2 linked regions of the Drosophila melanogaster genome follow. The protein of the gene in region 1 interacts with the protein of each later gene in a pairwise test. Each region holds a gene or a part of one and is shown in the gene's direction. Other genes may lie near its edges.

Region 1 (3,759 bases):
ATTCGGATAAGCGCCACTACATCTGCTGCCCGGAACCAGGTAACGTTCTACCAACGTCCTGTGGACAAGCTCCGCCTCTTTATCGAATGGCATATGGCACAGCGGCGAGGCCAAATGAATATCCTTGGATGGCCATGCTTATCTACGAGAATCGCAGACTATCGACCATGACCAACAACTGTAGTGGCTCCCTGATTAACAAACGCTACGTCCTCACCGCTGCACACTGTGTGGTCAAGGATAAAATGGTGAACACAGATTTGGTGCTCAGGAGAGTGCGGCTGGGCGAGCATGATATTACCACCAATCCGGATTGCGACTTTACAGGAAACTGCGCTGCCCCCTTTGTAGAGATCGGCATCGAGTATTTCAATGTCCACGAACAATATTTCAACACCTCAAGGTTTGAAAGCGATATCGCCTTGGTGCGTCTTCAAACGCCAGTTCGGTGAGTATTGCAATATAAGGCATCATTTTCTGACTATTATGAACCAAAGTTTTTATTTCCTTAGATATACCCACGAAATTCTACCGATTTGTGTGCCGAAAGATCCCATCCCCTTGCATAATCACCCATTGCAAATCGCCGGTTGGGGCTACACGAAAAACAGAGAATATAGTCAGGTGTTGTTGCATAACACCGTTTATGAAAACAGATATTATTGCCAAGACAAGATATCGTTCTTCCGCAACGAATCACAAATCTGTGCTTCTGGCATTCGAGGAGAAGACTCCTGTGAGGGTGATTCCGGAGGTCCCTTGATGTTAACCCTTAATAATGATTACCAGGATATCGTATATCTGGCCGGTATCGTTTCATATGGAAGTGAGAATTGCGGAGATAGAAAACCAGGTGTTTACACAAAGACTGGAGCATTTTTCTCATGGATAAAGGCAAATTTGAAGCCATAACTTTCTTGCTAAGGAATCTCGACTAGTGTATGGTGTTTGTTAATATGTGAATGCATTTTGTTTGTATGAGTGAATGTGTTTTTTTTGTGGATTATGGAATTATGGAAAATTCAATCAAGTAGCCAGTAAAATCAAATATGCACATAAGAATGAGTTTTAATATGTATTTTATTTATTTGATTAAATTAATAACACAATAAATCGAATTTACTTAATGATTTTGATTTTTTAAACGTTCTTTTCTGAGTTACATTTGTGCGTTGACAGTACACTGCCCGAAAACAAAGGCCGATAATGATTAAATTTACAATTGGGATTATCGTGTGGCACAACAAATAGTCTTTGCCACCAAAATACCATCAGACCGAATCAAAACAAAGCATCCATCAAAGTACGGCAAGATGGAAAATGTGAGGAGAAAATACGAAATGGAAAAAGACGAGAAGGGAAAAGTGGAAAAATGAAGATGGAAAGTGCTCGAGCAAACCACGGTCCTAAGACAAAAGATTTACAATATCGCTGGGGAAGATTTAAAGGTGATTTCCAAAGATATATATTGTGCCTGAGCAGCGATAAATAAACACAATTCTTTGACTATTTTTATTTCGGCCTCTCCTATTTTATTTATTTTTTTGCTCAATTTCTCGCTTTTTTCTCGGCCGTTGCAACTATAACTCAATAGAAAAGTGGCTGCCATTGATGGGATCTGTGGACGGGGGGCCGGATTTTCCACTAAATGTGTCACATTAACGAATTGTTGAGCTCCCCGAAAGCTAATTTATGCCACCACCTCCCCCACCAACCCACACTAATCGCTGGCCAGGTAAAATTCAATTTATTTGATTTGAACTAAGCCTTTCACAAACACGCTTCACATTGAGCGGAAAATCGCGTTGAAAACTCACGAAAATTAAAAAAAAAAGGGGAGGGGCGTGGCCTGCGGCAGCGTCCTTCTGCCTTAGAGAACCGCCAATGTCGTCTAATGGCGGGGCGCCTCTAAAAATAGGAACCACTCGAGAGCCACTCAGCCACTCAAAACGCAGCAGCATCCGCACTCCGAGAGGATCGCGAGCACATCTGGGGGCCCACGATATCTTGGATTCTTGGATATTGTCACCAAATGTGTTGCGATTGCGACGGAAGGCGGTACACACACTCGCGTACGGTCCGCAAATCGAAGTCGAAAAATATTTTTGAAAATGTCGGAGGTTTTTACAAAGCATCATTAAAGTGTAACCAACTAATTAAGGTTCTATTTTAAAAATCCCGAAAGTGAAACTATAACAAATTAAATTAAATAGAAACCACAGCCTAAAACTTGTGTGTAACCATAACTCATAAATTTGTGTTAATGACCTAGCATACCTAGAAAAAGAGCTTAAACCACGTTAAAAATGGTAATAATCAACTGACTAAATTAACTGTGCCATCGTAATTAGTATCAGCAATTAAATTCAGCAACTTGTTGAACTACCAAAATTGTTTTGTAAAATATAACAAAATCGTAGTGAAGTGAAAAATGACCAAGTATAATAGTGGCAGCAGTGAAATGCCTGCGGCTCAAACCATCAAGCAGGAGTACCACAATGGCTATGGTCAGCCGACACATCCTGGATACGGATTTAGCGCCTATAGCCAACAGAATCCGATAGCCCATCCCGGCCAGAATCCACACCAGACACTGCAGAATTTCTTTAGCCGCTTCAATGCCGTCGGTGATGCGAGTGCGGGAAATGGTGGAGCGGCTTCCATCTCAGCCAACGGATCGGGTTCGTCTTGCAACTACAGTCATGCGAATCATAATCCGGTTGAGCTGGACAAGCCATTGGGCATGAATATGACACCGTCGCCCATCTACACCACCGACTACGATGACGAGAACAGCAGTCTCAGCTCCGAGGAGCACGTCCTGGCGCCCCTCGTCTGCTCCTCCGCCCAATCCTCCAGACCATGCCTCACCTGGGCCTGCAAGGCGTGCAAAAAGAAGAGCGTCACCGTGGACCGTCGGAAAGCGGCCACTATGAGGGAACGCCGGAGACTGCGAAAGGTAGGCATCCCATGCTCACATTACACACATTTTCAGATTTATCAAATATTAAAAACATATTGTGCAATAACTACTGATACAAATACAGCACTTTCATCTTTCAATCATTCATTAAAAGAATGGTTCACTTTAAAAGTAGATTTTTGATTCATTCAATTCATTATTATAATAATAACTTAAAACTGCTTATGGGGACTTGAATATAGGCATACCACTCAGAACTCTGTTCAAGAGTCCTTTTCCATCAGCAGGCTTATTAATCCTCGGTCGATCTTAAAAATAGATTACGCCACAGTTCGCAAGTCCCCTGCGTTTAAGGACTGCAACTTTGTAGTAATTTCATTAGCTCGGCTAGCACCCCACAAATTAACACATCGCCACCAGGGAGGATCGGATCCATTGACATAACGCGCAGAAAGGGAAACCACCCAACATGCGTAAAACATAAACATTTGCCAAGACCAAGAGTTAAACAGCGGCATTTATGAGTTCGACGGTCGTAAAAGTTTTGGATGAACCACACGTATTTATAGCTCCACATAGAGACATTAGTGAAAGGCGGAAAATCGTGGGAGCTCCGGTTAGAAGGGGTATGGTGATGGGGGGCTGTCATAAAGAGACAGACGACGGGCGAACGGCTTAATTGTTGAAAATTTTATGCTCTATTTAATTTAAAATATGTTTTATTAAAGAGCCACTTAAAAGGGGAACACGCCGCGTGTTCTGTGTTTTTATGGCACGCCTAATGGATTTCCATGATTTCAACGATGGCCATTAATTGATTATTATTCCGTTCACAT
Region 2 (3,759 bases), on another chromosome or scaffold:
TCTGCCCAGCTCACCAATAACAAATTATTTTATTTTCAACAGGATATTCGAAATTACAGTGAGGTTCAAAAGGTTCTGCGCGATGAGATCGTCAATCCATTGCGAAAAAACGTTTTCGTTCGATCCGATCGTGTGATGAAACTGCGCGAGCTCCTAGATCAGCTAAGTTCGGTCAGCGGTCTCACCTGCGAGGAAAAGGATCCTGAAGAGTTCCTAAATAGTTTGCTCTCACAAATAATGCGAGTTGAACCGTTTCTAAAGGTGCTTATTGTACTCATTATTGCATAGATTTTTATACTAAATAATTTACATGTTTTTTTTTTTTTTTTTTTTTTGTAGCTAAGCTCGGGGCAAGATTCTTATTTTTACCAACTCTTTGTGGAGAAGGATGAGAAGTTAACATTACCGAGTGTGCAACAATTGTTTGAGCAAAGCTTTCACTCATCGGATATAAAACTAAAGGAGGTTCCTTCTTGTTTCATCATTCAAATGCCTCGTTTCGGAAAGAACTACAAGATGTATCCAAGGATATTGCCATCGCAGGTTCTTGATGTCACAGACATAATTGAAAATTGTAGGTGTTCAACAATATAACAATTTGCATTTCGAATCTTAACAAAATTCAACTTGCAGCTCCTCGACAGTGCTCACTTTGTGGCAAACTAGCTGAATACGAGTGCCGGGATTGCTTTGGCAGCTTGCAGGCTGGATCAGGACTGGAATGCACCGCCTTTTGTCCAAAATGTCTCAAGACATTTCACAGTCACATCAAAAGGTCAGCTATCTTCATAGATAAATGAATGAAAACCAATTAAAAACCTATCTTTCAGAACGAATCATGTGTCGAAGAAGATTTATAGTCCGAAGGAATTTAAAATCATGGCCGAGCACATGGTTGTCCCGCGATTGTACATGGAGTTATTTGCAGTCGTTTGCATAGAAACATCTCACTACGTGGCATTTGTCAAGTCTGGATCCGGACCAGATGCTCCATGGTGTTTCTTCGATTCAATGGCTGATCGAAAAGGCAAGCAAAATCTTAGTTTTAACCTAACAAGTTTCTTATACTTACGCAAATGTTATTTCAGGCGAACAGAATGGATACAATATACCTGAAATTACGTGTGTTCCAGAATTAACACAGTGGCTCTCGGAAGAAGGCGCACGATCTATAAATGAAACTTCAACGAACGATAAAGTATTACCTGAACACGCCAAGCGTATTTTTTGCGATGCCTATATGTGTCTGTACCAAAGCACAGATATAATGATGTACCATTAGAGCAAATTTATCAATAAATTAAATGAATGCAATAAAATTTTTGTAAAAATCACATGTGAAATGGATTTTGTGCCTATTAATGGTTATTGGTTTGTTGAAAAATATGTTTTATGATATTAATATGGGTAGGCTTTACATATATAACAGGAAAAAATAAAGATAGGTGGTTTTCTATAACTAATATACCAAGTAGCTTATATTTTTTTTACAAAAAGTTTGTAACAATTAGGAAGTGCTTTTTGTTAGGAGAAGTTTTCAAGGTGACTCCAGAAACAGGACTGAACCATCTAGAGAACTACGGATCACTAGACCATGAAAGGCAGTTCATATTCCGGATATATATGGATGTATGTATACACGGGAGTACATACATACATATAAATCTTGAAGTGCCCACCATTGGTCGACGCAAAACGTCGGCGATTGCGATTGGTGGATTTGGAGGGAGGATATCCAGATGTTGTTCACTCGACGGCGCACATTCACTAAACAAGTGAAAAAGTTTTTCAGTTACTTGCCAGACATCAAAGACGAGTTTTACGTGCGACGCACTATCTGCGAAAATGTCGATCTTAAGCCGCGAATTTGATTTGAATTTAATTACGTTAAATTAGAAAATGTTTAAGAATTCCGTTGCCTTGACGTGCGAATACTCAACCATGTATTATAACTCAATTTATAATACTTCCAACATGTTCGACATGAAACGTAAATGTTTAAATCATTCTTCTTACTTCGCTGTTATTTAAATAAAATTGGGACAGTGATTTGTGGTACCAATTCCAGTACAAAAGCGACTTTTATTTTATATTTTCGTGTGTATGGAAAATAATGTATATATTTTCCAAATATTTCAGACTCCGAAAGTCAAGTTCAGCAACAAATATATAACACAAGTCACCTAGGTTATGTGCCAACTTCGAATACTCGGATTGTTAAGAAACGTAATACAGCTAACAAAAAGGAGAGAAGGCGAACCCAAAGTATAAACAATGCGTTTTCCTATCTGCGAGAAAAGATTCCCAACGTTCCTACAGATACTAAATTATCAAAGGTAACTTCACCGACGGATAGATAATCTTGAATTTAATACTTAAATACACCAATAAGCACATGAAGGTTGGATTTTAATGTTTCCTACTTAAGTCAATCTTAACTATATTCTACTTTTACTTTGTTTAAGAATTAAGATAAAATAGCCAGCGAAAAATATATTTTATAATAACTTATTCAATTATTTATAAATTTGAAGTTTGTTTGTGTCCGTTTGCTTGGTTTACTTGACAGATTAAAACATTGAAGTTGGCCATATTGTACATAAACTATTTAGTTAATGTTCTTGATGGAGATCTGGATCCAAAAGGCGGATTTCGAGCCGAACTTAAGCCGGTCAGTCGAAAGATCTGTAGCGAAAAGAAGCACTGTTTGAAATCAGAGATTCAAGTAAGAGAGTAATTTACTTTGTCATGCTTTCAATAACAAACCAATCACTACATATATTTAAATTGATCGCTTTGAATTTTGGATTTAAGTTTATCCGGCGGAATAACAATTCATACATATTTTTGCCGCTTTTCATGCATTCAAACAAAAAAATTATTAAAAATCTTTTTTGTTTTTACTGTAGGTAAATGAGTTAAGATACCATAACCTAATTGATATTTCATTCAAAAAACATATTGGCTTGCTGATTTTTGTTGTACAAAGATATAGATAAAGACAATGTTCCCGCTATAAGGGGCGTATTGTTTGTTTTTTTGCATTGATATATAGTTATAGTTCTACTATTCTATTTGGCTTTTTCATTTCGTTGAGATCTCTGCTCGGAATTTGTATTTTTATGGTACACAAGATATTTTCTCCCCCTTTTTCTGCACTGGGGCGTAGATATCTCAATTGTTTGTTTATTATAAGAAACAAAAGCACTTGACTTTATAAAAGAGCATTTTACGTTTTTCCCTCAAAGAAATAGGCGTAATTCCATTCCCCTTGTAATCCGCAGATAAAAACTCGATTGATTGTAGATATATTCCTAATGGAAGTGCGGTGCCATGTTTAGCTTCAAAAATCGGGTTTCGAAATATATGTACACAGGTCCAGTGACCAGTTGTAAGTTGTACTTTATTGTGCAATTTCGGAAGTGATAAACCGCAGACGCCTGCATCCGTAATTGAGAATCCATGCTAACCAACCGCCTCCTTCATAAAATGGGGGTGAAATAATGGCTGGGAACACTTATTTAATAGGGCAATCTGGTTTTAGATATGAACACAAGAGACAAGTGTCTAAGTGGTGCTTCAGAAACATTTTAATCCATTAGGGGTTTGATTAATTAAGTGCCTTTTTGGAAATATTGAAGTTTTGAAGTATTCTTTTTTATTAAAATTTTTTGAACCTATAAGCTTTGCTTAAGTATTTCATAAAGATAGTTTTTATAACATTGACATTGACAAAAGAAGTAAAGAAAACAAAACATT

Evidence for each region. Proteins that work in one complex are often made in the same cells at the same time.
Region 2: the proteins of nau (region 1) and Hand interact in a two-hybrid assay, tested with the Drosophila melanogaster proteins (one study listed by BioGRID).

What each region holds. Positions count from the first base shown.
Region 1 is NT_033777.3:23,716,629-23,720,387, reverse strand, and holds the start of nau (nautilus), read left to right. Parts: upstream 1-2,030; 5' UTR 2,031-2,431; coding exon 2,432-2,959; intron 2,960-3,759. Other genes in the region: CG10232 (uncharacterized protein), read left to right, coding at 1-448, 513-912. UniProt on the Drosophila melanogaster protein: May play an important role in the early development of muscle.
Region 2 is NT_033779.5:10,293,440-10,297,198, reverse strand, and holds the start of Hand (hand), read left to right. Parts: upstream 1-1,813; 5' UTR 1,814-1,899; coding exon 1,900-1,990; intron 1,991-2,139; coding exon 2,140-2,336; intron 2,337-2,569; coding exon 2,570-2,725; intron 2,726-3,759. Other genes in the region: CYLD (cylindromatosis), read left to right, coding at 43-261, 340-574, 634-775, 831-1,027, 1,089-1,282.